Elephas maximus indicus: one gene and its partners. The protein of the gene in region 3 interacts with the protein of the main gene of each other region in a biochemical or structural test. Links are inferred from orthologs where the notes say so. Each region holds a gene or a part of one and is shown on either strand. Other genes may lie near its edges.

Region 1 (7,655 bases), on a different chromosome or scaffold from region 3:
CTAAATGATATGTTACAAATATAGTTTAATAAACAGTCACTAGTCAAGACAAGGGACAGAATGCTAAGTACACTTTATAATACCTTGCTAATTTAAAAATCCATTTATCTCACAAATTTTAGACAAAAGGAAAAAACAATGTGAAGGGCAAGTTCCTTTTTAAATTCTTTTACTCTGTATTTTCAACCTTTTGAAAATTAATCACAACAGTAAAGAATCTTTGTCTTCCCTGGAGATAATACTTACGCTGTTTTTAATCACTCACAAAGTTCTACAAAAAACCTCTTCAAATTCTTAATTTCTAATATTTAAAGTCTTGTGTTTAACCTGCAAAAACCTTGCTATCTTATAATAAATGTTGCTTTTAAGCAAAGCCATTTAAGAAATCCATTTAAATACCTAACATGAGACTATTAAGAAATTAAGACTATGATTTTTTTTAAGCAATTAAAATTTTAAAATTACAACTTGTTTAGAAACACGAGTATTAATTTTGGATGACACAGATGTAGTAGTATCCTTTAGAAATTACTGAAGTGGAATGTATTTTTAAAAAATATATTATTAAAATAAGTATATTTATTATTAATAATTACAAAATGTGCTATACCCATTAATACAAATTATTACTTTTATTTTGACTAAACTTTTAAAATAGGACAGTGTCTTTGGTTGTTAAAAAAGCAAATTTTTTCTACTATAAAAATTTCAACTACATTCTGAGAATAAAATATTTATTCAGCACAGTATTACTGAGCACACTCTAAACCTTTAATCATTTTCCTGAATTTGATATAGAGGTTGAGAAAATGTATAACATGCAGACCAGGCTGATGTTAACAATACATCTTCCCAGTTTTCTAAAAGAATCATAATAATTTGAAAATGCATCAGCTTCCTCATCAACGTATCAACGTTAAGCCTATTTCTGAAAAGAACAGCTATAACCTCATCCATGCCCCAACTAATCAAAACAAAACACAAGGCAATGATGCAGATGTTCTCATTATTCCTTCACTCGTGGGATCTGAACTAAATGGCACCTAGGCTAGTCAATGCTATGTAGATACCACTTTGCATATTACACACAGTGTCTCACTGGCTGAATTATAGCCCCGAAGTCTTTTCATGACCTTTTACATAAGGTTCTATATAAGTCTGAGTTAAGAAAGAATTTTGGAATTCACAAAACTATACAAAAAAGGATGTTTAAAATTTGCCAAAGTTTAAAAACTTAGTAACATTTTAAAAACATAAACCTATGAACTTAAAATGAATATGATAGAGTAGACTACAGTATGAAAATCTTAAGATTGTAGGACCATGTGAGTGTATGTGTAAGTATATCCACAATACACGCACACGTACATTGCACCATAAGCCATCAGTTCTGATTAAGCTCAGGGACTATTAAAGAGATATGTCCAAAGAGAGCTGCTGAAAAAGAAAAAAACGAAACAAAACAACCAACCAAAACAAAAAAAGATAACATACTAAATTCTTCCCTAGGTTTTCCTAGCGTTTTACGGTGAAAGGATGGCCTGATTTCTAATACAAGTCAAAATTCAGCAGCCCATTGTATTTCAATGCACGGTATATTAAGTAGAGCACATTCAGCAAAAATAGTGTGATTTTTAATAACCCTGTAATCATAATTCCCTTCTACAAACATCTTAGATGACAGAAACACATTATACTAATGCTGAAACAACCAACAATGTTGTGGATAACAAAATATGCGAGGACTACTACATACTAACAGATTTCACTGTGTGCAGCCTGATCAACGCTCTGAAACCGTCAAGTATGCCATGAACGTAATGTTCTTTGCAGCAGATTTTACTAGCATAAAAGACACCAGGGAAACATGGGTTCTTTTTTACCCATCCCTTCAACAATATTCTGCAAAATCAAGAGATTTACAAAAGCTTCTACTCAGCTAGGCACCATGGTCTTGTTCAAAACCCAGATTCTATTCAACAGCTCCAAGCAGGAACACACCACTCCGCCACACATCACAGATCGGTACGCAGTCACCTGAGCCACCTGAACTGGTAGAGTTAGGCTGTCAGTTCTGAGATGTTGCTAGTGTGTAAGAAACACCGGAGCGGCTAAGCCCTCCTAGGTACACTAGATGGTTAACCCTGGCACCAAGTGCCTTAATAGTAAGAAGCTTCTCCCCCGTTAGAAGATGCGTAAGACTGTTCCAAAGAAAATGGTACAATCGTGAGGACCTTTTCCACAAAGGAGAGCAGAAAAGAGCTAGCTTTTTCTAGTCAAAAACTCTGCGGTGGGAGACAGAGCTACAAATTTAGGAAACCTAGATTCTGGTCACAATTCTGTGACAGCTTACAGAGCAGCCCTGCCAAGTCAGAGCTCAGTTTCCCTACTGGCAAAAGGGGAATCACCGCCGCCACCCCTCCCCCTCCAAGGAGTCAGGCACACCCTAGAGGTCTAAGATTACCCGGGACGATAAAACTGGGGGAGGTGCCGCCGCTCCCAGGACCCCCACCCTGGCCCCCTGCCCCCCGCGTCAGAAGGCAGGGCCGGTGTACCTGGCTTCACAGTCTTGAGACGGATAGGCTCGCGGAAGTGGCGGATGACAGCCAGGGTATCCCGGTTGGTGAGCCCGCTGACAGGCGTCCCGTTCACCTCCAGCAGCACATCCCCGGGGCTGGGCGCCTTGCCGGAGACGACGAAGCAGGTGCCCCCGCCCGGCTCCTCCCGGAGCCGCCCCAGGTAGGGGAACTCGCCGCGCTCCGCGCCGCCCCGGATCTCTGCGCCCAGGTCGCCCGGGGACCCGGCCCAGGACACCGCGCACTCCTGCACCTTACTGAGCCAGTGCTTCTTCTTCTTCAGGGTCTTCGACATCCCGAACCCCGCTGCACCATGGGGGAGACCCCGCGCGGGCGGCCGGGGCGCCGCTCCGGCCCCTTGTCAGCCTGGGGACCCCAGGCGGCCCGCGCAGCCCGGCGAGGGGGGCCTCGCCGCCCGGCCCCCCGACCGCAGCCCGCTGGGGGCCGGGACGCTCCAAGCCCCGAGGCGCCCCTCCGACGCCTCTCCCGGCTGCGCTCCCCCGGGCTGACCGGGCTCGGCGAGGGCCACCCCGGATTAGGGTGAAGAAAGGAGAAGGGAATTGTCCCCGGGCGGCTCCAGAAGGGGTTTCGGGCGGGGTCACTGCCGACGGCTGGCCCCCGGGCTCCGCGCCCGAGCGGCGGGAAAGGCTGAGGCAAGGGGGCGGGGAGGTGAAGGAGGAAGAGCTGGGACGTGAAAAATCCGTCGGGGACGCGCAGAAGCGCGCGTGGAGCCGTCGCTGGATCGGTCTCGATCGCTGCGGCGCTGGAGAGCGGAGACCAACGCCTGCCCAGGCTGCCAGGAAACTGCCGCTTTCAAACCCGCCGCAACCTCCTCCTCCGCCCTCTCCCCTTCCCCCCGCCCTCGCCCAGCCCTCATCCAGAACCCCGCCCCCTCCCGCCGCGCGGCGCCCGGCGCGCTGCCGTCACAGGCCGAGCGCTTGGGAACGAGCCCCAGCACTCGACTTTCACGTCGGGGATTGGCCCCCGGTGCACAGGGGGCGGGCCCTCACGGAGAACGAGGACCACCGATTGGTCGATGGGAGTGGAGGAGGCGGGTACTAGAATGACTGAAGTTTAGAGAGGGTGGAAAAAAGAAGTTTGGAGAGCGAGGGTGGGCGGGGGACTGGAGTGGACTCCAGGTCGCAGGGCCGGGAGAGGCCCTCCGCACGGTCGCTAGAGCCAAGGGGAAACTCGGATGTGAGGAGCGACCGAACTCCCCGAGGTAGGGGCGTGGCTGGCGAGCCAGGCTGCTTGAGGGCGGAGCCTCGAGCCTGCGCCGGGCGCTGAGAGAAACCCGTTGTATTCTGGTAGGAGGCGACGTGCGGAGTCCGTGCTCCCAGGTGGTGGCACCTCCAGGGTGGTTACCTACGTGATTGTTGTTCATTCAACAAATGTTATTTGTGTGCCATCGATGGCACGGGGTACTGGGTATTGAGACCTGGGCTCCGAAGTCTGGTTGATGGAAAGTAAAATAGAGCCCTGCACCTAACTGCTGTGTGACCTCGGGCAAATTAGGCAACCTCTCTGAGCCGCAGCATTCTTGACTAAAAAATGGAGATAATTATACCTGCCCCTTCAAGTTGCTGCGGAGATTAAATGTGATACATATAAAATATCAGCGTGGTGGCTGGCAGCGGTTAAATGCTTCTTAACATTTGGTAGCTGATAAGAGAATGATGACGGCAATGGCTGTGACTTTGTGTCAGATAGAAATTGTGCTAGATACTGGGGTACCAGAATACCTAAAACAGAGGATCTGCCCTCAAAGACATAACAATATAGTGGGAGAGACTGATAAGTAAGCCGACTGCCTGGAGTGAGGTGGGGGCGAAGGATGGATTAGAAGCTAGCCTGGTAGCCCACTTACCTGGCTGGAGTCATGGCATGCTCCTTGCTTGCTGTTTGACCTTGACCAAATTTCAGCTTCAAGTTTACACATCTGTAAAGGAGCTGAAGGGAGAGCTAATATTGAATAATGAATATCTTAGGTCCCTCCCAGCACTAATTTTTGAGAAACTCCCCTTGACCTTTTTCTCCATCTTGGCTTGACTCAGTCTTTGGGCTCTGTTTGGAATGCCCTTTATCCCATCTCATTTAAAAATCCTTTCCATCCTCACTGCAAATGCTATCTCTTCCACATAGCCGTCTCTGATTTGATCCTCATGTGAAAAGCGTTTTCTTTGAGCTATGATACTTTATTTCACATTGCAGGATGGCACTTATTTAGGTAGACTCCTACCACCTTTTAACAGTAGGGAAAACCCCATTTTTAACTATGAATAACTACACAGAACCTCATCAAATCTCAGATAGACTGGACCAAGCTTCAGCAGCTGCAGTGATTTCATTCACACCATCTTATCAGTCAGGGTCCTGGCAGGAAACAAATGGCACTTTACAAAGATGTGGGCAGGGTGTGGGAAACCACAAGAGAAGCATGGAACGCTGAGGCTACAAGCTCGGAGACCTATAGAGGCAAGAGGAAGAAACAGTTACCAAAACTCAGATACAGAGAGGGCTCCTTGGCATGAGTCCATGACTTTCAGTCAAGGGATGCAGTCAGCCTAAGTAATCACTTATGGAGGAAGCTGGGAGGTTTATATCTCACTCACCTCTCTCCTTCAATCTCCTCCTGCTGGTGCATCCCAATGGCCAAATCCAACCAGAAGCCAGAGGGCAAGGGAGCCCTTTACATAGTCCCCCTCAGTCAGTTTCACAAAGGATACACTGCATCTGGCGGGACAAAGAGGAAATATCCAGCACAGATACAATGTGGATTGTTCAGATTATCCTAATCTGAGACATAGTTGGAATTTTTTTAAATTGTGGTTGGGTTCTGTCCCCCCCCTCCCCCCCCCCACCCAGCTACCACCTACACTAGCAGATTCCTGGATGAAATCTTGATTTTAAAAAATCCATTTCCTTCTGTAATGTTCCTCGGACTTGGGCAGACATGGCTCTAGCAGCATTCTTGTCTGTTTTCTCATTCTTGCCTATTCTGTAATATTTCCGTGGACTCAGGCACGCATGGCTCTAGCAACATGCTTGTCCAATTTCCCACTTTTGCCTTTTTGGATATATGCCGAATAAAACTTTCTTTTTGGTTTACTGGGGGAAAAAAAAAGCTCCGTTGAGTTGATTCCAACTCATAGAGACCCCATAGGACAGAATAGAACTGCCCCACAAGATTTTCAAGGCTGTAAATCTTTACGGAAGCAGATTGTCACATCTTTCTCCCACAGAGTGGCTGGTGGGTTTGAACAAGCTGGCTTTTTGGTTAGCAGCCGAACTCTTAACCACGGAGGCACCAGGGCTCCTTGAAATCTTGATTTAAAAGAATGCAAAAAAACTGTTGCCGTTGAATCGATTCTGACTCATAGCGACCCTGCAGGACAGAGTAGAACTGCCCCATAAGGTTTCCAAGGAGTGGCTGATGGACTTCAACTGCCTACCTTTTGGTTTGCAGTCGTAGCTCTTAACCACTGCACCACCAGATTTTAATAACCTCCACATAATCTATTTTCACTGCAATTCTGGAAAACTTCTTTCCACTGCCTAGATTCTATCATTAGAATGTCATTAGCTACAAGGAACAGAATATCCAACTAAACCAAAAACCAAACCTGCCGTTGAGTCGATTCCGACTCATAGCAACCCTTTAGGGCAGAGTAGAACTGCTCCATAAGGTTTCCAAGGAGCATCTGGCGGATTCAAACTGCTGACCTTTTGGTTAGCAGCCGTAGCACTTAACGGCTACGCCACTAGGGTTTCCAAATATCCAACTAGCAGTAGCTTAAAGCAGAAGGACGTTTATTATGTCTTTAACATGAAGCTCAGATATAGGTTGTCTCAAGGACCTAAGTTCTTTCTGTGTTTGCTCCCTGCCATCTTATGTATGTTGACTTTCTTCACCAGGCTTGTCACCTTTTAGTTGTACCGTGGCTGCCACAGCTCTACACATCACATTCTACGAGGTCATTGTCCAAAGCAGGAAGGGGGGAAAGTGAGTACTGCTCCCATTTTTATGAAGGATAGAAATCTTTCCCAGAACTGCCCCCCAGTAGAATCTTCCTTATTGGCCAGAAAATGATCACATGCCCACTGCAGACCGTCACTGGCAAAAGGAAATGAGATTGCCACAGTTCATTAAATTGATCATGGGTCACCCCCCAAAAAATGGGGGTTCTGTTAGAGAGGAAAAAGGGGGAATGTTGTTGAGTAGTGTCATGGATTGAATTGTGTCATGATTCCCTTGTATGATTGTCTGCCATTTTATCATCTGATGTGATTTCCATGTGTGTTATAAATCCCATCACTATAATGTAATAAGATGGATTAGCAGCAGTTATATTGATGAGGTCTACAAGATTAGTTAGTGTCTTAAGACAATCTCTTTTGAGATATAAAAAAGAGAAACAAGCAGAGAGGCAGGGGGACCTCATACCACCAAGAAAGCAGCGCCGGGAGCAGAGCCTGTCCTTTGGACCTGAGGTTCCTGCGCCAAGATGCTCCCAGACCAAGGGAAGACTGATGATAAGAACCTTCCTCCACAGCTGACAGAGAAAGTCTTCCCCTGAAGCTGGCACCTCGAATTTGGACTTCTAGTCTACTGGTCTGTGAGAAAATAGACTTCTCTTTGTTAAAGCCATCCACTTGTGGTATTTCTGTTATAGCAGCACTAAATGACTAAGACAAGTAGGCACCCAACAGTGCCCCACATGCCTTCACCAAGAATTAAAAGTTATATGGACTCTAAGGCAGAAAACTGCAGTGATTAGGAGCTTGAGCTCTGGAGTCAGAATGCAAATCTCAGTCTATTTACTACCCCTGTAACCTTAGGCAAGTTATTTAACTTCACCTAACCTCAGTTTCCTCATCCACAAAATGGATATGATAATAGCACTTACCTAACTGGATTGTTGTGAGAATTGAATGAAGTTATTTGGGTCAAGCACTTATGTAACATAGGGCCCGATACACAGCGAACACTCAGTAAATTATTATTTTAGTTTGTTCTAATGAAATAGGAATATTTCGATGCGACTAAAAGCATTGCTAATCACCTTTACAATTCTGAAA
Region 2 (7,092 bases), about 34 Mb from region 3:
GAGATGGTGGAAGGGCCTGAGCCTTGTCTCACAGACCTGGGTTTGAGTCTCCAATTCACTCTTTAGACCCATCTCTTACCCTCTATGAACCTGGATTTATCCGTGTGTACTTTGGGTCCAAATCTACCTCCAGAGGTGGTGAGGACAAAACTGGAGATTCTGTGTCCAGCAGCCACTAGGGCCATGGCAAGAGGCTGGCCTAGCTCCACCAACTAAGGGGCAACCTCAGGCAAGCACATTCCCTTGCCTGGCCTCAGTTTCCTCTCTGTTCTTGCCAGCTGGCTTCCCATCTGGCCTAGGTGAAGGCAGGTGGTGTGGGGGAGGGGGTAGGGCTGGGTCCCTCCCTGGGCTTCCTGGAGGAGGAAGTCTTGCAGGGCACCCATTGGGAAACCTGTGAGTGGCTCTCCTGCAGCCTGCTGCACCCGGCATACGCTGCAGCCATTGCTTCACTGTGAGTGAGCAACAAACTCCCCCCCTCACCATGGGCAAGGCCTCTCCAGAAGGGGAACTCCTCCCCACCCCCGCAGGTCCCTCACCCAGCCCTCCATCTGCCTGCCTCCCCCCACCAGTTACTTCCTCCTCCCCCTCCTCCCAGCCACATCAAGGCAGCAGCCAAGAGTCACATGCAAATACCCTGTCCTGGAGCTGCCATCAAGTCAGTGGGGCTCCCCACCCCACCTACTCAGCCCTCTCCCTGTACCTCTGGGTGCCTGGGAAAGGAAGAAGGACTGAGCAAGGACACACACCCCAGTGCTGCCCCCCTTCAGCAACTCTGCCCATTTGGGCTCAAGGTCATGAGAAAATGAGACCCTGAAGTGAGGAATCCATCTGCTCAAGATCACAGAGGCTGGAAGTGACAGAGACAGGATTTGAATCTAGCTCCCCAGAAAGCTACAGCCCAAACTCCTCCCCTGCCCCCCCAAACATGCTGGGCATCTATTAGGTGCCAACAGTATACATACTCCAAGGATTCCCAAACCACTTTCCGGTCTCTGGATCGCTTGGGAAGCTGGTAAAGGCCCTGGCCCCAAGCTGTTAGCCAGCTCATGGGTGATTCCGATGCAGCCACCATTTCAACCTGGTGGCCCCTGGCCAGATCTGGCTCTCTGACATGATTTATTTATTTATTTGGTTACAGTGGGATTTTTGTTTTGTTTTGGTAAATAAAATCAGCACCAGTATTCCATGGGCAGGGTTCAGGACTTGGTGACAATCAGGATTTCCTTTAATCTTCATGTCCCACTCCCAACCATTCTACAAAGAGATACTGAAGATCAGAAAGACTTGTCTAAAGCCATATAGCTGGGAAGGGGCACAGCGAGGTCTGGTAAGTGTTCTCAGTGGATGTACCAGTCTCTGGCAGGGCCATAAACCCCGTGCCTTACCCGCAGCCTGATGAAGCCTGTCCAATGACGCCCACACTCTCTAGCCAGGCAAGGCAGTGCCCTCAGCAGGCCTGAGGCCTGAATGGCTAGAGCCCTTCAGGTCTGGCCCAGCTCTCCCCACCCCTCCTCCCTGGCTAGCTGGATGACAAGGCAGAACAGAATCGGCAGATGCCCCCAGAGGCTGGGAGGAAGGCCTAGCCCCAGGGCTTGATAAGGGACAGGAGATAAGCGGGGCTCTGGGCACTGAGGACCCAGCCTCCTATGCCCATTTCCAGGCAGCACACCCCAGAGATCCACGAACTTGGGTGAGCCGGAGGACCAGAGGCTGCACCGAGTTGGGCGTCCCTCTGGGCTTCCTACAGACTGTGTTGGGGACATTCTGTGCCTAGGACTGGGTCAGCCATGGACCCTCTGGGTAACACAGGGCTAGTCCCTGGTCTGAGCCTCAGTTGCCCATTGCAAAATGGGGAAGAAATGTGGAGCAGATGACTCTTAAAACCTGGACGCCCAGCAAACTGTGGACAAGCTGTCATGACTGTCCACCCTGGAGTTTCAAAAAAAGGGTCTTGCTCACTGCTGGGCCCTCAGTACCCTGGACAGGGCAGGGCACAAAGTGGGTGCTTGGTGATTGTTACTAGGTGGGCTATGGCAGGGAAGCAGCAGACTGACTACAGGACAGTGAGGACCAGGCCTGATGGTCCTTGTCGGCTAGAACCTTCACAGAGCAGGTGACTGAAAACAGCTGGGGTAGGGAGCCACGAGGGGCTCAGTACACACACTGGGCTCACCAGACTGGCTCCCACCTTGGCAGGTCCAGTGCAGCCCACCCTACATGCTCTCTTCCTTCAAAGCCCACTTCCCACTTATTTCTGTGCCTGTTTGTCCCATTCACCTCTGTCCCACGTACTGAGGTACCCGGCAAGTTGCAGTCGTGTTGGCAGCATATATGACCAGGAGTTTCCCCAACTGGAGTGGGCTGTGCTAAGCACAGGCTGCTTTCATTCATTCTCCAAGCCTTTCCCCAGCACCAACTTTGGGCTGGTTCAGGCTGGGCGGGCGCCCGGGACTGGGCCGAGCACGTGTGGGCTCCCCTCCCTAGGTCATCTTCACACCTCTCATCTGGGAGAGGGCTCGAAGGGTCGGGTCCCACCCTCCCCACTTCCTTCCTCTCTCCTTCCCTCACCCCCTGCCCCCCCGCCCCGCCTCGAGGGCGGCGGCCTGACCCCCGCCCCTTCCTGGGCCCCGGATCCCGGGGCAGGTGCGGAGGAGTACGACCGGCCGGAAGGGCTTGTCTCTGCGCGGGGCGCCGGGCGCGGGATGCGGGCCGCTGAGCCCGCTGCTCTAGGGGGCCGTTTGGCTGGAGCGCACCGCGGAGCTGGGAGGCCGAGTGCCCGCCGCTCCCTGCACCCTGGCCCGTCGGATCGCCCGGTCGCTCACCTTCCCGGGCCTTGAGTAGCACCGTGTTTGCTACGATGTTCTCGAGCTCCATGGGCTGCGGCGCCGCGGGGCCCGCCGGGCCGCGCAGCCGGCCGGGATCGCGCACTGGAGCCGGGGCCGGATGGCGATCGGCGCGGCTCGGCTCGGCTCGCAGTGACCGCGCCGCGGCCTCCCCGGCCTCCCCGGCCGCCGCCGCCCGCCGCGCACTCTCCGCCCCCTCCCGGGAGCCACCCCGGCGCCGGCCCGCCCCGCTCCGCCTCTGTTTACTTTACTTTGCCAATAAGCGAGCCGGTGGTCCCCGCGCCGTTTTCCCATTGGGTTGCCTTTTCATCATTCCCCGCCCCCCAAGTCAGGGATTCGCTCAAAGGCGCAACGGGGGTGGGATTAATTACGTCACCTCTCCCTGGTTGGTCTGAGGGCGGGTTTCAGCCCCTAGGTTCGAATTTCTGGGCCTTCGTAGGATACAGTGCTGCCAATTAGGGGCTAGCGGCTCCTCTCAGCGGGGGACAAAACGGAGGCGGTGTCCTCTGGGTCACGCCCAGGAGGCCAAATGGTTGATTGGATAAAGGAAGCGTCAGCCATTCTCAGGAATACATTCTGATTGGGCTATCGTTGGGGGTGTGGCCATGTGGGGGTGGCCCGGGCGGCTCTGGTGCATCTACCGCTTTTCTAGGGGTTTGTTGGAGATGCGGTGTATATCCCGCTCTCCTGCAAGCCGTATTGCTTTGGGTCGGCCCATCCTGGAGGGCGCGCATCGGGAGCGAGGAGCGTCCCCCTGGAGACCGGCGGACCCCCCAGAGCCTCCCCGGCTCTCCAGAGGCTCCCGGGCCTCCAGCCGGAACGCCTCGGCACCCCCGCCCCGCCCCCACAGCCGGATGTTGTGATTTCTCCCCACCCACACGGCCTCGCCTGCCCTTGGCCTCTCCTGCCTTATAAGGCTGCACTATCACGCCTAGACGTTAGGAGAACTCACGCCCATTATACAGGTGGGGATCTGAGGCACCGGAGGCTGGCTCGAAGCTGAAGACTAGGAGGAAAACAAGGCCGAAATTTTACAGCTAGTCAACACCTTCTTGCTCAGCCCATTCTCTCCACCCCAACTTTACAAAGCAGGAAACAGAGGCTTACCCAAACTCCGCGAGTAAGGCAGAGCCAGGCTTCTCTGCGCCTTGTTCATTCATTTATCCTGAAATACCTACAGAGCACTCACTTCGTGTCAGGCACCAAGCCAGGTGCTGGAATTACAGTGGTGTCCGCAAGATAGCCAGGCTGCCTGCATGCTCGCTAGAAGCGGGGGTGGGGCGAGGGGGATGGGTAAAGATAATAATCCTGTAGCTAAATAAAGGAGATGGCTTCAGACAGTGATAAGTACTACTAATACAATGAAATAAAGAGTGAGTGAGAATGGGCTCAGAGTGTGACATTTGAGCAGAGACCTGAATGATGGAAAGGACCCAATCATGCAAAATTCTAGGGAAACAGAGTTCCAGGCAGAGGAAACAGCAAGTGCAAGGCTCAAAGCCTAGGATAAGTTTGGTGCATTCAGTGAACAGGAAGAAGGCCTGTGTAGCTTTAAGGTTGAGTGATACAATGAGAAACAAGGTGCAAGGGCACGAGATAATGGAATGCTTTGTAGGCTATAAACCGCAACCCCCCCAAAAAACAAACCAATTGCTTACGAGTCAGTTCTGACTCATGGCGACCCCACGTGTGTGAGAGTAGAACTGTGCTCCTTAGGGTTTTCCTTGGCTGATTTTTTAGAAGTAGATTGCCAGGCCTTTCTTCCTAGGCACCTTTGGGTGGGCTCAAGCCACTAACCTTTTAGTTAGCAACTGAGTGCATTAACTGTTTGCATCATCTAGGGACTCCTTGTAGACCATAACAAGGAGTCGTTTTATTTTGTTTTTTGTTTTTTCCCCTAAATGAAACGTGAAGCCTTTGAAAGGATGATTTCTACTTTTAAAAGGTTGCTTTGGCTGGTGGACCTTTAGGGGGCCAAGAGTGTTAGCCAAAAGAGCAGTTGGGAGGCTACAGAAGAATTCCAGGAGAAAGATGACCTTGGCTGGGACTAAGGTGGTGGCAGTGAAGATGGAGAAAAGTGGGTGGGTCTAGGAACATTTGGGAGTAAAGATAAATATCTTGAAAGAGGGAAACCCAGTGGCCAGTGGAACAAAGAACTTGAGGTGGGGGTGAGGGTCAGTGAAGGTTGTTGTATCTCAAGGTGAGACCTGACAGTTAAGTGGGAATGTGCTGGTTTCAGAGATTCCTGGAGCTGGAGGGAAAGGGCCTTCTGGGCAAAGACCCATAGAGGAAGGAGGTAAGGGCAGAGCATCAGGCTAGATTTTAAGGTGCAAGTTGGGGTCGAGAAATGAGGCTGAGGCCTTAGGAGGAGTCTGGATCAGGGAGGTCCTTGGAAGCCAGGCAAGCAGTTAAGGCTTCATTCTGAGGGTAGTGGAGGGCCATGGAGGGGCTTTTAAGCTGGAGAGTAGTATGGTCCGATTTGCTTGGACGGTGGGCTCTGTGGTGCACTATGGAGGACAGGCTAGGGCAACGGGTAGGGGGGAAAGAGGGGCCGAGGCCCACTTGTGGATACCCGTTGTTTTGTCACTGCATCTGAATACCCCTCCCATTTAGTTGGATTCCTACAAGATGCAGAGGCCTCTGCCTTCCACCAGAGCAATCCCAGAGGGGCGGCAGTATTTCCTCTCCCAGGTCTCTGGTAGCTGGAGCACATTTCCAGTGTTTCCAACCAGGTCTTTGAATACAGAGCAAGTGATCAACACGAGACATGGAGGGCACCATTTAGAATTCACTGTGGAGGCAGTAGATTGGAAGACAGTCAAATTGGCTAATCAAAGCCAGGTCTTTCCTAAAAAGAAACAAAAAAAAAGTCATCTAGTTGATTCCAACTCATAGTGACCCTATAGGATAGAGTAGAACCATCCTGTAGAGTTTCTGAGGAGCGCCTGGTGAATTTGAACTGCTAACTCTTTGGTTAGCAGCCGTAGCACTTAACTACTATGCCACCAGGGTTTTCAGGCCCTTCTGACGGAAGGGAGTTCAGCAAGCATCCCAGGAGCTGTCTGATCTGTTCTTTGTTGGCCTAAGTGACCCAGAACTAGCTTCGTTGTTTGCAACCAAGCATCCTGACTAAGACAGGCAGATGTTTTATGAGGAACTGTCAGAGAGGGGAATGGTACTGCCCTTGCTGGGGTAGTGGCCAGGCTGTGCTTTCACCTGGACAGGGTGAGAGCTATCATGGAACTGGAACGAGCAGGACATGGCCATTGATCTGGGGTGACAAGGGGAAGGTGTCCTGCATAACTCTCAGGTCTGACTCTTCAAACCGTTCTCCACCCACTGCCAAAGTGATCTTTTTTAAAAAAGAAATCAGCCACCAACCATCTGAGATATGCACTTGTAGAAATTTGTCCTACAAATATAGTTGCTTCCAGGTAAAATGAGAAACGTTCAAGGTTATTCATTGCAGCATTGTCTGAAAAGGTAGAATATACAAATCTTCCTTAGTAGGGACTGGGTAATAAAATTTGTTCCTTTCTTACACAGGAATACTATGCAGCTGTTTTTAAAAAAGGGAGTCCCTGAGTGGCATAAACAAAAGGTTGATGGGTGGAGTCTACCCACAGGCATCTCAGAAGAAGGGCCTGGTGATCTACTTCCGGAAAAAAAATTAGCCCTGGAAAACCTTACGAACCACAGTTCTACTGTGACACACATGGGGTATCCACGGGTCAGAATCAACTCCATGGCAACGGGGTTGAATTTTTTGGTTTGGTTTTTAAACAAAAAAAGAGTTGGGAGGGAGCTCTTCAGTACTGATATAAATGATCTCCAAGATATATTGTTAAATGAAAAAAAGCAAGGTACAAACCAGGTATAAGCTTTGCTACCATTTGTGTAAAAGGGTCAGGATAAGGTAGGCTAAATTATCCTGCAGTAACAATCCCCAAATTTCAGTGACTTAAAACAACAAAAGTTTATTTCTCATGTATACCACAGGTCTAACCCAGGTTGCTGGGAGGTGACAGGGACTCTACTCATGGTAATCACTCAGGGATCCAGGGTGACAGGGGCTCTATCTCAACTTGTGCTTCTGTGAGGGCAGAGAGAGTAAAAGGAAATGTGGTAAGTTGTATAACAGCCCTTTAAAGCTTGCACCTGAAAGTGACACAACTCACTTCTGCTCTCGTGTCACTGGTCAAAGAAAACCATGTGGCCACACTATAAATGATTTGGGGCGGGGGTACAA
Region 3 (6,921 bases):
TTCTATGCATATTTTTTGATTCAAAAACAAGATAACACTAATAGCTATCTCTTTTCCAAGGCACTGTGCTAAGCACTTTACATGCATTTAATCTCATTTAATAGATACCTCTTTAGGAAGGTAATATTAAAGACAGACCTTTAAAATAATCACTTAGAAAGAAATCTACAGACGTCTCTCTGCTCAAAGAATCATAAAGATGGGAGGGACCTTGTCTAAACCAAGACACAGGATAAGTTTTCCTAATCCATTCAGCCTTTCGTGGGAGGACATTCTCAACAAGATAATTAAGCACTATGGCCTAAGATACCCATTACGTGTAATGATTTAACTTCTCTCATGTCCCTAGATGGTCATTGTTCCAACGAAGCTATGTATCATCCTTGGGAGAATTGAGAAATGTAGTCACTCTAATAATTTTCTTTAAGGTTTGATTCTCTAGCAGAAGCCCAATTAAGGAAAGCTACTAGGCACCACAGAGCCTTACTCTTAAATAATTCATTAAGTCAGTCAAAATGTGTGTCTGTGTTCATGTGTTTGCCTGTTTGGCAGGCAGGAAGCTACAAATCAGTCTCTTAAGGGATTGACAAAATATGTAATTAGACACTATCAATCACCATAAAAAAGCCTGCTTTTTCTTATAGCAGATAAAGGTGCATTTAATCTACTAAGAACTTCCCAGCTCAACTGCAGCATTAACTCTCTAAGGCCATGAGCACAAACAATAAGCAGTGCTTGTCAGACTCCTCTGCTGGGAAATGGAACAGTAGCGCCGGGCAGTAACTGCATACCAGGCCAGGAGGCAGACCTAGACTCCTAATTTGCCCTGCCACTTTGAACCAGACACTTCACTTTTCTGCCCTTCAGTTTCCTTATTTGCAAACTGAAGGCAATAAGCTAAATGATCTATTAAACCCTTTTTTAATTCTAACCTTCTTCTAATCCTATGATTTGAAAAGGAGGTCAGGAGAAAAGACTCTTGGCAAGAAGACAACAGCTCGAAATTCCTACCAGCTTGGTGATGCAGCAGAGAGAGAGAGAAATAATCCAGTTGGCAAGGCTGGTGGGCAAGGGCTTGGAACTTCTTAGTAGACATAAGCAATTTCCCCTTCTCGATTTAGCGTTTGTGGTGTTTTTAAAACGTATTTCCCAAAATACTCAGTTAAATTTTTAAGTGACTTACGTGTATATCTAAGTGATCGATTAGTGTTTGTTCTAAAAGGGTTTTCTTTGTTCCTTTTCTTGTATGTGAAAGTTAAACAATATGCTTATTTATTCCATAGTTTCACAAACAGGAAGGAGGTTTTAAATGGTTTAGTTCCACAATTTGGAGTAGATGTATATTTAAGGAAACTTTGTTACATAACAGACACTGCCTCTTCCTAAAATGCATCAGACCAGAGCCAATTGTGGAAAACATAAATATGAGGTGGGTATGTTTTGAAAACCATAGGAACATAATAGATCCTTAATTAATATCTGTGGCTTATATGGGAAATGTGCTTTTTTTTTTTAAGGCATCTGTCTTAGAGAAACAGCTTCTGCTATTGAAAGAAGTTAAAGGGAACTTGTAAGTTGAATACTGTCTCTGAGCTTTGCTTCTACAGTAAACACTCAACTTACTTTCGTCCTGAATTATTGTCTGGTAGAGGAGACTAACAGTATATGCTAAACGAAATAATTTATATAAATATTACTTATAACCCATTTGATTCTCACTGAATCCAATAACAACAGAAAAAAGTTACTTTATTCCCTCTGTAGAGGCAGATGAAATTAGGCTTCATCTTTGTAATGTGCCGAAGGAAAACCAAATCAAAATCAAACCCATTGCAGTTGAGTCGATTCCAACTCATAGAGACCCCATAGGACAGAGTAGAACTGCCCTATAGGGTTTCCAAGGGGCAACTGGTGGATTCAAACTATTGACCTCTTTGGTAGCAGCTGAGATCCAAAGGAAAGTTGAGCTAGAAAGTTCCAAGACAGGTAGACCTGGAATCTGTGTATTCTAATACTAGTTGCAATGCTTCTTCCCTATCTTGCACTCCTTTCTGCACGTAATGATACCAAATCTGTTGCCATCGAGTTGATTCCGACTCATAGTGACCCTATAGGACAGGGTACAACTGCCCCACAGGGGTTCCAAGGAGTGGGTGGTGGATTTGAACTGCTGACCTTTTGGTTAGCAGCCCAGCTCTTAACCACTATGCCACCAGGGTTCCTGTAATGATACGGTATGCAGAAAAGATAAAAGATGGCTTTAGAGCCAGACAAAGCGGGGTTAAAATCCTGCCTCTGGCCATGTGCCTCTAGGCAAGCTATTTCGCTCTTTAAGGCCCATGTGTGAATTAAGTTAAAAATAGTACCCCGGATTGTAGGAAGGATTAAATGGAATAATGTATGAATAGTTCATAGGAAATGTTCCATAAATGTTATCCATTGTTATTTTATTATGTAATCTGCAAAGTATGTTTGACTACATTGCATGAAATACTTTCCATTTTTTAAAGACATACTGATACGTATGAAATCAAACACTGGGCATTAATTTTTTCATAACAGTAAAGTCATATGCCAGATGCCAAAGCAAAGTATTTTGTGGACAAAGACTTTGGTTCTAAGACTGGTCTGCTTTTTATTTTTATTTTTGTAACAAGGAAGAATTATCTTTTGCTTTCTGTACTTTCAAAATGTTCTTAATGTCAGCACATTCTAAATAGATTGAGCCATACGAAATTGCCATTTTGTGGGTCAAACACATCCAAATATTGGCAATTTCATATGGTTCAAACAAATAAATTATAGAGCAAATGAAAGATTTTTTTTTCTTCGCAATAGGTTACTGAAGTAGTCCATGTTGAAATGCAAATGGTCCCATTTTCAATACATTTTCATTCCAACAGATAATGAGGGAATAATGCCACATTCCCAAGAATTAAAAACAAAAGCATACAACTTTCTCCTTCCACCCCCAAGTACATACGTGAAGACCCCAGTTTGAATGAAATCCAAAGAGTAAAATTATGTCTCAATACCCACAAAATTCCCAAGGAGGGCACCAAAAGTACTTGACAGCGAGTGTACTGAGGAAATCGGCAGCTGCTGAAGTCACCTCCTGTGGTCTTGCCAAATGTTTGAAAAAGGAATATGCTGGGTGTCTGTGTGCGGGGAGCGTGGAAGTAGGGGTGGGGGCTGCATTTATAAATGCCTGAGTGGGGGGGTTTGTGAGTAGGGACAGGGACGACCGTGTCTGGGTCGCTCTCCATGTCTCTGCGTGTTCCTGTGGGTTCATTTCTTTCTGTGTGCGACCACGCTTTTGCACTTCTGTGTTTGCTTTTGGCCTCGCCTCTGTGTTGGACAGAGGTGACATTGTGCCTGTCTGCTTCTGTGTGTGTGCGCGCGCGCGTGTGCATGTTGGTGCGCTAGACGGGTGTGTCTCCGTGTCTGTGGCTGTGATTCCGTATAAGTCTGAGCATGCCTGTCGGGGTGCATTTGTGCCTGTACGTGCGTGTCTCGGTGGGCACTCTAGTCTCTTTTTCCGCACGTCGGGGACTGCCGGTGTGCTGCCCGCTGCGCTAAGACCTCATTGCGTTCAGGCTCCCGGGACAGAGAGGTAGCAGCCATATGAGAGCCCAAAGCTCCTAGGTTGGCTGTTAAGCACGCCGGACCCAGCTTTAGCATTCTGGGTGCAGCCCGGAGTAGCCGGCAGGGAGTGGTGGCCCGCCCGCCTAAAGGGTAGCAGCTGAGCCCCGCCCGAGCCAGGCCAGGAGGGGGAGAGCTAGGGGCGGGAAGGGAGGGGGGCCTCGCCCTTTCGGGGCTGCCCGCGCGCCATTGGCGGAAAGTTGACGCACGTCACGGAGAGGGCAGTTCCCCTAAAGTCCTGTGCACATAACGGGCTGGGCGGACTCAGAGGCGGCTCCTGCAGGGCGCTGGCTGCGACTGACGGGCACAGCGAGCCCAGGGCACCCCGCAAAGCTGAATGTGAGGGACGCACCCCACTGCATCCACCCCACGGCCGCTGAATGAGGCTTCCAGGCGTCCGCTCGCGGCCCGCAGCGCCCCGCCGGGGGTCCGCCAGCTGAGGCGCGACCAGTGCGCCTGCAGCAAGTGCGCTCACCTGCCAGCCTACGCGCCATGGGGCAACCCGGGAACAGCAGCGTCTTTTTGCCTGCGCCCAACGGAAGCCACGAGCCGCACCACAACGTCACGCAAGAACGGGACGAGGCGTGGGTGGTGGGCATGGGCATCGTCATGTCGCTTATCGTCCTGGCCATTGTGTTTGGTAACGTGCTGGTCATCACGGCCATCGCCAAGTTTGAGCGTCTGCAGACGGTCACCAACTACTTTATCACCTCGCTGGCCTGTGCGGACTTGGTCATGGGCCTGGCGGTGGTGCCCTTTGGGGCCAGCCACATCCTCATGAAAATGTGGAGTTTTGGCAATTTCTGGTGCGAGTTTTGGACTTCCATTGACGTGTTGTGCGTCACTGCCAGCATCGAGACCCTGTGTGTGATCGCAGTGGATCGTTATTTTGCCATCACATCACCCTTCAAGTACCAGAGCCTGCTGACCAAGAATAAAGCCCGGGTGGTCATTTTGATGGTGTGGATCGTGTCAGGCCTTACCTCCTTCTTGCCCATCCAAATGCACTGGTACCGGGCCACCCATGCGGAAGCTATCAACTGCTATGCCGAAGAGACCTGCTGTGACTTCTTCACGAACCAAGCCTATGCCATTGCCTCCTCTGTTGTGTCCTTCTACTTGCCCCTGGTGGTCATGGTCTTTGTCTACTCCAGGGTCTTCCAAGTAGCCAAAAGGCAGCTCCAGAAGATTGACAAATGTGAGGGCCGCTTCCATGCTCAAAACCTCAGCCAGGTGGAGCAGGATGGGCGGAGTGGGCATGGACATCGCAGGTCGTCCAAGTTCTGCTTGAAGGAACACAAAGCCCTCAAGACTTTAGGCATCATCATGGGCACGTTCACCCTCTGCTGGCTGCCCTTCTTCATTGTCAACATTGTGCATGTGATCCAGGACAACCTCATCTCCAAGCAAGTTTACACCCTCCTTAACTGGGTGGGCTATGCCAATTCTGCTTTCAATCCCCTTATCTACTGCAGGAGCCCGGATTTTAGGATTGCCTTCCAGGAACTTCTGTGCCTGCGTAGGTCTTCTCTGAAGGCCTATGGGAACGGCTGCTCCAACAACGGCCACACCAAAAGTGACTGCACAGGGGAGCAGAGTGAATATCACCTGGGGCAGGAGAAAGAAAGTGAACTGCTGTGTGAGGACCCTCCAGGCACTCAAGGCTTTGTGAACTGTCAAGGTACTGTGCATAACGATAGCATTGATTCCCAAGGGAGGAATTGTAGTACAAATGACTCACTGCTGTAAGCAGTATTTCTACTTTTTAAGACTTCTCCCTCCCCAAGGAACACTAAACAGACTTGTTAACTTGAGTGTAATAAATTTAGAATAAAATTGTATAGAGATGTGCAGGAGGAAGGAAATCCTTCTGCCCCTTTTTTTTATTTTTTTAAGCTGTAAAAAAAAGAGAAAGCGTATTTGAGTGATTATTTGTTTCTTGTACAGTTCAGTTCCTCTTTGCATGGAACTTTTAAGTTTATGTCTGAAGGGCTTTTGTCCCAGAGGACCTGGGTCTGCTGTTTTGATGACTCCTCCGTGTATCTACCTCACTGGTCAAGTGTTAGGGGTAGCGTTTTGCTGCTGGTAATTTACGTCTGAAGGAGATGTTCCTTCCTGCACCCTTGGACTTGAGGATCTTGTGTATCTCGGACCTTTCAGCTGTGAACATGGACTCTCCCTGCTCCTCTTATTTGCTCAAACAGGGTGTTGTAGGCAGGGATTTGAGGGGCAGCTTCAGTTGTTTTCCTGAGCAAAGTCTAAAGTTTACAGTAAATAAATTGTTTGACCATGACTTCATTGCACCTGTTTCTCCAAAACCCCTTGATTGGAGTGTTGTTGCCTCCCCCACTGGAAACCACAGGTAACTATTTGTAATAACTGCTCAGTGACTTAATGCTGAATGATCCAGGAATGACATGTGCTGATTGCTTAACGCTTTCGCCTGCCTTGAAATCGGCTGCTACAAACCTGTATCTCTCCTAACACTTGTGTTCCAAATCCGTTCTACCTGCTCTCAGCATAGCTCAGCTCAGCCTCCAGTTATGATTCTGTGTTGTTACATCAGAAACACTGACTCATAGAAATGGAGCTGTGGGCATATGTTTTGTCCCTCCACACCCCCCCACCCCCCCCCCCCTTTCAGTTCTGCTTGTTTGAGAACTGCTTATATTTATGTCTTTGCCATGTCTTATAGTGGAGAGCCTTGTACTGCATCAGGGCTTGACATTTTCAGGAAATAAGGAAGATGTTCTTATGAAAAATCTATTCAAACAGAGCCCAGCATTCCAAGGGAGGGCAAACAGGGCACTGGTCACCGAGAGAAAAGCTGGGAAACATGTAGCTATGAACACCTCAAGACCGTGAAACAGGGTTTTAGCCCTTCTTCCTTCTGTCGCCTTTTTCCTTTTCTTTTGACCCGTCTCACTTCAATATAAACCAGCGTTTCTCAGTGTCAGCATTATTAGCATTTTGGACCAAATAACTCTTTGTTGTGGGGGACTGCCCTGTGCATTGTTGAATGCTTAACAGCATCTCTGGCTTCTACCCACTAGATGCCAGTAACACCACCCACCCAGTTGTGACAATGAAAAATGTCTCCAGACACTGTCAAATGCCTCCTAGGGGTGAAATTGCCCTTGGTTGAAAATCTCTGGTACAAACTTTTAAAATCTAAAGAGATTTTAGATTCTGTCTAATGCAACAGTTTTACCTTGCAGAGCCTCTGAGAGCTATGGCGATATTGCTCCTAGTTGAGAACCACTGGTATAAACTTTTAAA
Region 4 (7,919 bases), on a different chromosome or scaffold from region 3:
CAGAGGGGGTCAGGAGTTGGCTGAATGGATGCGGAGACAGAGGGTGGAGAGGAGTGTGCTGTCTCATTGGGGGAGGGTGGCTAGGAGTATATAGCAAGGTGTATATAAAGATTTGTATGAGATACTGACTTGATTTGTAAACTTTCACTTAAAGCACAATCAAATAAATAAACAAACAAACGTGCGCCGAGGTGACAACAGAGGTGTTCGGGGTGGACAGAGAAGCATAGCGGGAAAGCAGCACTGGCCAGAGGTCCAGAGAGCACGGTTCAAATTCCAGCTCTTCTCTGATACCAAGTCTCTCTCCCTCTGAGTCTCAGTTTCTTCAGCTATTAAATGGGGAGAAAACCACCTGATGTGCTTGCTTCCCACCGTCGTGGAAAGGATAAAATGGAGTCAGAGCGCTTTGCAAACTGGGAAGTGCCAGGCAAATGTGAGCTATAGTCACATCGCCGCTGAGGGCCAGGAGACACTGGACCCACTGGCTACAGTGTCATCACACACCTAGGCCTGGACTCCTGGGTGTCGGTGCCCTGCCATCCAGAGCTAGCGCCTCCGGCCACCTCATGGGTGTGGGGGATGTACCCAACATCCTGCTGCCAGATGGTGACCCTATATGAGAAGCCACAGCACCTGGCTCTCAGCCTCCAGCTGCTCCCTTAGCACTGCCTGCCTGGTCTCCACTTAGGAACAGGGCAGCCAGAACACAGCCCTCCGGGATTTCCTGAGCAACTATTCCATGCAAGGCACAGGCCTTGCCAACTTCACAGGTTCTTTTAGAGCCAACTGAGATGACAGATGTCAAAATCAGTAACAACTTGATTATCATTTCCATCCTGATTCCTATCACCACGACGATCACCACCCTGGACGGCCAAGGAGACAGGAAAAGAAGAACGGCTTGTTTCTCAGGGTTCTAACACCTGCACGGCCAACCCAAGGCGGGGCCCCATCATGAGCAATGCATTCTGGGGTTAGATTACCCAAACACAGAGAGTTCCAGAAAGGGCTCCACCTCACACTTCGCAGAACTCCAGCCTGCAGGAGGGTCTTGAGGCCGCGGCCACCGCGAAGAGCCATTGCGAGCCCTCGAGGTTGGCTCCCCCCATTTCCTCTCTCGTGGCTTTGTCATTTCTGAACTCATTTTGTTCTAACTGTCTCAGCTCCCTGGTCAGCCCCCAGCTGACAGTCAGTTCTGGTTCCTGTTTTGAGAAATCTGATAGCAAACGTCTTAGAAAAAAAGGGGCCCTAACGGCCTTTTCAAAGCGCAGGCCCATTTTCCTCTCTCTCCCAAGCTTGGTGTTCAGTCAACGTGAAACCCAGCAAAAGGGCAGGGTGGAGGGCACCATTGGGAGACTCCTGCAGCTCCAGGCTGAGGCAGCTGCGGCCCTGCTCGGGGGCCTCAGGACACCACAGAGCCACAGCCCTCATTTCACGTCATCCACATTTCACAGATGAGAGAACCGAGGCCCAGACATGGGAAGGGACTTGCCCAGAGTCACAGCAGGCCCGCTCCCAGGCATTGGAGGAATGGCTGGGACTGGCCACGTGACATAAGGAATCACGGTGGGCACACAGCCCTCACAGATGCAGCGTGTCCAGGCAGTAGACGGAACGTAGAGCTAGAAGCTAGAATCCCTGAGGTGGTGGCCGGGTTCCACCCTGTGTTATCTGTGTATCAGTGGGCAGGCCACTCACCTCTGGAGCTTCTGTTTCCCCACCTGTTCCACAGGAATGAATCCACACCTGTCCTACCCACCCCACGAGCTGCTAGGAGGCCCGTACAATGGGAAAGCCATAAAGTGCTGGACAGACTGAGCCCTCTGCATACCCTGTATACCTGCAGCTACATCCTGAAAAGTTTTAAACTTTGATACCAAGCATGGTGACATCAGCTGTCTTACAGAGGTGGCAACCCTGGCCCAGCTGCCGCAGGGCTGCTGGAATGTCCCCTGGTCAACAGCACTCAGCAGGGCACACCACACACAGGGCCCACCAGAGAAGGCATGCCAAGGGGAGAGGACACAGTGGGCGGCCCAGCCAGCACCCGAGCACAGCCCACCTGGACACCGTGCACAGATCCCACCGGGCTCCCCCTACACACCTGCCCAAAAAGCACTCCCAGATTCAGCCCCCGGACAGTGGTCCCATGACAGGAGTGGGAAATATCCCCAGGAAGCAGCCCCAAGACTTGTTGCCCCCCACCCCAACCTCCAACAACTGGCAGGGGTGGGGGAGAGGAAGCGGTGCTGGGGGTAGGAGCAGCCCAAGCATGGGCGATAGCTGATAGCTCCGGCCAGGCAAATGACGGCAGGCCGAGGAGACCCCGCGGGGACCAAGGGCTGCTCAGAGGAGTAAGAAGGGGAGAAGGCAGCAGTGTGGGGCTGACAGGGAGGGAGGGAGCCCGGAGTGGGCCACGGGACGCTGGGAGCGCCTGGGAGACAGTTGAGCTGGGAGCCCGGGGGCCCCAGGTTCAGGTGCACGGGGCCTCGGGACCCAGTCGGAGCCGCTCAGGGCTGCTGGCCCGCGAGCAGCGGCGGGGCAGAGGGGGTCCCGAGGGCCAGTGCTGGGGGTCTGGGGCTGCGGGTCGGGGCTCCGGGTCGGGACTCGGGGCACGGGGCTGCGGTGGGGTCGAGGCAGGGGCGCCCCGCGCGCGGCCTCACCTGGGCTCGGGCAGCAGGATCTTCTTGCTGGCGCGCGCGGCCGGCGTGGCCTTGCTCTTCTCCATGGCCATCAGGTAGCTCACGTCGGCCAGCACCGCCTCCAGGTCCGCCATCTTGGCGGCGGCGGCGGCCTCCTCCCGCCGCTCCGCTCCCTCGCTGCTCGGCGCGCTCGGCCGCCCGGCCGCTCCGCTCGGCTCGGCCGCCGCCGCCGCCCGCTCGGCCCCGCGGCCCCGCTCGCCCGCTCACAGGCGGCGCCGCCCCATAGCGCCGGCTCGGCCCGGCCGGCTCGCACTCCGCTCCCGCCGGGACTGCAGTCGGGGCGCCGCCGCCGCCGCCGCCGAAGCCGCCGCCGCCGCCGCCGTCGCCGCCGCCCGCGCCCCGGAGCCGCCGGAGCCACCGCCGCCTCCGGCCCCGCCTGCCGCGCACAGCGCCAGGAGCCGCGAGGGGCCGAGCCGGCGGCGGCGGGGCGCCCCCTGGAGGCTGCGGGCCGCCTGGCCTGACCCCGAGCCAGGCTTGGGACCAGGAGCCCAGACCCCGACCGTGACCTTGGCTCCAGGCCCAAACACCACAAGGGCCTGGGACCGAATGGGACCCCAGACCCAAACCTTGACCACAACCTCAGATCCCAACTCCAGACTGGGCTCCCCAGGCTTGGCTCTGACACTGACCACGACCTCAGACCCAGACTTCAGAACATGATTTCCAGGACTTCAGCCTCAGACCCTGACGGTAGCCCCAGACTCCCTGACCCAGGACTCAGTCCATGACCTGGATAGCAGTCCTGACCCCAGACTCCAAAACAGGAACCCCAGACCCAGACCTTGGGCCAAGACCTCACACACTGACCACAACCTGAGATGACAACCCTGGGCAGCCGACTCCACACCCAGACCTTCACGCTGACCCTAGAGTCCCCAGTAGGACCCCCAGATCCAGACTTTGGACCATGACCGCAATCTGGTTACTGACCCCAACCTTGATTTCAACCCCAGAACCACACCATTACCGTAACCATGATTCCTGGACTTGATGTCAGGGCCCAGACCTGGATTTGAACCATCAAGACCGGACCAAGGTCCAAGACCCAATGCCCGGGACTCTAGACACACAGGACACAGGACATTCAACCCGGACCCAGAACCCTGAACAGGTCACCAGGACCAAGGACCTGGGACTTGACAACTACAGCCAGACTCCAGACTTCTCCCAGCCCCATTCCGGCCTCAGGACCCCCAGACAGGATCAAGGACCCTGCACCCAGCTCCACCCACTCTGGATGAGCCCAGCCCCCTTCCCTGCACCCCATCCCATCCAGAGGCTGCTGTTCATTCAGATGACTCCACAACGTGGGATCAGACAGACAGGGCACAGGGGCTTCAGCACTGCCTGGCAAAGGAAACCCACCACGCTGAGAGCCCACTCCCAGGTAGGGAGGAGCCGTGTGGCTCCAGGTAGCACCACCATCTCAATGTTCCCCTCTTCAGAGCCCCTCTGTCTTTCTCAGGTGACAGGACCCACTCCCAGTCCTGGACATGTGGAGCTCAATCTTCAGGCCAGTTCAGCAATCAGGACCCTCTTGCAAAACAGGGACCCCCTCCCCGGGGACTTCTCAGGGAAGGAGGAGGCCACAGCTACTTTCTCAGATCAGCCCCAGCAGAGCCTAGAACCAGAGCACCTCAGAGAGGGCAAGGTCCCGTTCTCAACGAGTGACACCCCCATGCACCTAGATACCCAAGTCAGGACTCCAGGCATCATTCCTTGATTCACTTCACCATTTTTTTAAATCACCATACCCTCTTATCTGGCCCCCTGAGAATCTCCTTGAAGCTGTTCGTGTCTCAGGATCCCCATGACCACTGCCCTGGTGCAGGCCCTGACCAGACTTGCCTCTCCCAAATCTATATCTAACCAGGTCACCACCTGCTTAGCATCTAGAAGTGGATTTCTAGGCCTTCTGGGGCTGCTGAGGGTCGGGGACCCCAAGGGAAACTGCAGACCCCCACTCCACTTTGTTCAAAGCAGACCAGGTTAAGATGCTTTTGAACCTGCAAGTCAAGGTCTTGGGTGACTGGGCCCTGCTCCCCTTTTCCCCATCCTCTGCACCTGGGGTCCCTCCACCAGCCTACCTATGACTCCTCACCTCCGTGCCTTTGCTGTTTCCTGTGCCTTCTTCCTTGGCTAACTCCTGCTCATCCTTTAAGACCCACCTCCTCCAGGTAGCCTTCCCTGACCCCGTGACCTGAACTGGGTACATCTCTGACTCTGCATTTTTACCACCTGTTGTTGTTGGATGCCTTAGGGTCCATTTCAACTCATAGTGAGCCCATGTGACAGAATAGAAGAGCTCCATAGAATTTTCTAGGCTGTAATTACTACATAAGTAGATCCCCAGATTTTTCTCCCGCAGAGCTGCTGGGTGGGTTTGAACTGCCAACCTTTGGGTTAGCAGTTAAGTGCTTAGCTATTGTACCACCAGGGCTCCTTACTTACTTATGAGAACCAGTTTCCTTGATTTGAAATCATCAATAGCAAGGTGCACCATTTCACGTTTTTGACCATGGGGGTGGGCTTTATCAAATGTTTGCATCAAGTGGAAAATGCATCGTGATGTTGGGAATGCTCAGTTCAAAAAAAAAAGGAGACACTGCATCTCCCGTGGTACCGAGGCTCCAGGTTTATCTCTTGCCCCCGGTGTCTGGCACAGGGCCCAGCACAGGGACTGACACAGACAGGACATTTGTCAGTATCTGATGAATAAATGAGCTCCCTACCCAAGGTGTCGTGTGGAATTGGGGGCAGAACAGGGCCAGGGGCACACCAGGAAACCACAACAGGAGGCCCTGAACCCTCTCCCTGACCCCAGCCCCGAATCATGAGGACTGTGAGTACAGCCGTGTGCTGGCCTGGGTTTTCTGGGACAGGCTCCGTTTAGGAAATTCTTCCTGAGGAACTTATCAGACCAGGGGCTGCACGTGGGTTCTGGGAGGCAGCCCTGCCTTCCTCCACCACTTGAGAACCCAGATGGCCCCTCCTGCCTGCCCACAGCTCAACCCACATCCCGGGCTAGGCCGGAAGCCCTCGAGGGAGCCTGTCTCCTGGGTGCCCCTCAGTGAGTCCAGGGGCCCAGGAAAGTGGGTTCTGGAAGCCCGGGTTAGGAATAAAGTGGTGCCAGTACCTGACCCCAGGGAGGCTGATTTTTGGGATGGTGCTGCCCTCTGGTGGTATGGGAAGGCCGGTTGCTAAGCTTGCCTTATCTCACAGGCTTCAGGCATTCCTTCTCTCAACAAACCTCGCTGGTGCCCAGAAAGTGCCAGGCTTTAGCTGGGATGCTGGGAGTGCAAAGAGGAAAGGAACCCCAACTCCACCCAGCTGGCAGACTCGTAGACACATGGTTACTTGGTATCTGCACCGATGACTAATGAAGTTTTGCAAACTTAACACATCCCACACGGGGCTCTGACTCCCGCTGCCCAGCTCTTGCCTAGCCTGTTCCTCCTGCCTCCGCATCTCAGTCATGGCTCCTTCACCTTCCAGAAACTCTGGAGTCATCCCAATTTCACGGTTCCTTCATCTCCCGCTTCACCTCACATACACGCACGCTGTCAGCCAGCCTGTCCTGTCGGCTACCTGGTGTGTCTGTCTCTAAAATATACCCTGAATCCTTCCACTGTGGCCTGTGAAACCCGGGCCTGAGTCCCCATCACCTCCCTCCTAGATGCCCACACCTGCTCCTGAGGTCTCCCTCTTGTCCTCGAGCCCATCCGTCCACTCCCCCAGCAGTCAGCCAGAGTTTTCACAGACCACAGTCAGACCTGCCTCCAATAGCTGCTCCCCGCATGTAGGGTAAAGCCCACCCTCCTTTCTGGGACCTGTAAAAGCTGTGTGGCCTGGCCCCTGGCCACTGCTTTAACTCCTTCCCCCTTCCTCTTGTTCCTTGGTGTCTGACCTCCCTGGTCTTTCTGTCGCTAGGACAAGCCGAGCTCAGGTTCACCTCTGGGGCCTTGCCTCTATGGCTCCCCATGCCCAAACACCTTTTCCCCCACTTCCGGCATGGTGGGCCCCTGCTCAAAGCTCTCCCTTGGAACTTCTCTCTGTGGTGGTCACCATGGCACCTTTCATACCCAGCATGGCCCCTGGCACAAAACTGGGGCCACAGAGAGAACAGGACTCAGTGTCAGCCCAGTCCAGTGGGGAAGAAGATCCTTAAACGCACACCTCCAATTAACCAGGCAAGAGCTATAATACAGGTAGGTGGGACACTCAGGGGAAAAGTGTGGTCAGCTGGAGGGTCAGGGAAGGCCTGAGCGAGGTCTTGACTGTGTGTGCACAGATGAGGTCTGGGATGAGGACCAGCACACACCAAGGTCCAGGAGGGGGTGTTCCCGCCTGCTGGAGCCTCATGTCTGTCTCTCCATCCCTGTCCTGGGCTTTGAAGATCTGGGAGGGTGAGCTTGGGGGTGTGCCTGTGAGCCTTGGCTTGTCATCTCTAGAAGGAAGTGTCTGCCTCCGGAGGGCGGGGTGTATGTGTGACATGCAATGGTGTGTACGCAGAGAGGCTGGGTAGAGCAGTGGATAGGGCCCACTCTGGAGCCAGAGTCTAGGTGTTACTAACCAACTCACTTTGGGCAAATTATTTGACGTCCATAACTCTCTTTCTCCTCTGTAAAATGAGGGTGCGCAGGGTGAATCACCACCTCACAGGCTCACTCATTCATTCGACCGTATTTGTTGAGCACCGACTACATGGCAGGCCACTGTGCTTGGTGCTGGGGATCCAATCTGGGCAGAGTTGGACAGTGAACTAACTTGTGGACAAACTACACATAATAGTAATAACCACTGACATTTATCAGGAGCCTGGGTAATCTCACTGAGTGCTGGAAACACCCCTATAAGGCAGTGACAAGTTACTATGAGCAGGCACCTCCGCCCACAGGGAAGTCAGGGAAGCCTCGAGGAGGGCGTTTCTGCCAGAACCAGAAGGATGGAAGGGAAGAGGCTGTTGGGGCAGGACCAAGAGCTTTGCAGGCATGTGGAACAGCAAGTGCGGAGACCCTGAGGGAGGGGAGGGCCCTGGTTATCTAGGGGGCTCCCCCGCATTGCCAGGACGCCGTCCTTTGCGCTGCCCAGGGACTTTCAGCGGCCCCTTAACCCCTCAGGCGCCACTCGCATCGGGCTTCGAAGGCCGTAGCTCCGCCCGAGCGCTGTCCTGGAACAGCGCCTCTCCCCGGAACTTTCCGGAAGATCGCACAGTCC

What was found.
Region 1: the proteins of ADRB2 (region 3) and MAGI3 form a complex in vitro, tested with the Homo sapiens proteins (2 studies listed by IntAct, with this or other methods). The link is inferred for Elephas maximus indicus from reciprocal best matches to the Homo sapiens genes ADRB2 and MAGI3.
Region 2: the proteins of ADRB2 (region 3) and GRK6 form a complex in vitro, tested with the Homo sapiens proteins (2 studies listed by BioGRID, with this or other methods). The link is inferred for Elephas maximus indicus from reciprocal best matches to the Homo sapiens genes ADRB2 and GRK6.
Region 4: the proteins of ADRB2 (region 3) and GRK2 form a complex in vitro, tested with the Homo sapiens proteins (2 studies listed by BioGRID, with this or other methods). The link is inferred for Elephas maximus indicus from reciprocal best matches to the Homo sapiens genes ADRB2 and GRK2.

What each region holds. Positions count from the first base shown.
Region 1 is NC_064821.1:167,277,071-167,284,725, forward strand, and holds the start of MAGI3 (membrane-associated guanylate kinase, WW and PDZ domain-containing protein 3), read right to left. Parts: upstream 3,005-7,655; 5' UTR 2,872-3,004; coding exon 2,556-2,871; intron 1-2,555.
Region 2 is NC_064820.1:197,794,805-197,801,896, reverse strand, and holds the start of GRK6 (G protein-coupled receptor kinase 6), read right to left. Parts: upstream 3,013-7,092; 5' UTR 2,875-3,012; coding exon 2,823-2,874; intron 1-2,822.
Region 3 is NC_064820.1:163,838,552-163,845,472, forward strand, and holds the start of ADRB2 (beta-2 adrenergic receptor), read left to right. Parts: upstream 1-3,906; 5' UTR 3,907-4,134; coding exon 4,135-5,323; exon of another isoform or gene 5,324-6,004; intron 6,005-6,921. UniProt on the Homo sapiens protein: Beta-adrenergic receptors mediate the catecholamine-induced activation of adenylate cyclase through the action of G proteins. The beta-2-adrenergic receptor binds epinephrine with an approximately 30-fold greater affinity than it does norepinephrine.
Region 4 is NC_064825.1:130,315,486-130,323,404, reverse strand, and holds the start of GRK2 (beta-adrenergic receptor kinase 1), read right to left. Parts: upstream 3,005-7,919; 5' UTR 2,777-3,004; coding exon 2,664-2,776; intron 1-2,663. UniProt on the Homo sapiens protein: Specifically phosphorylates the agonist-occupied form of the beta-adrenergic and closely related receptors, probably inducing a desensitization of them. Key regulator of LPAR1 signaling.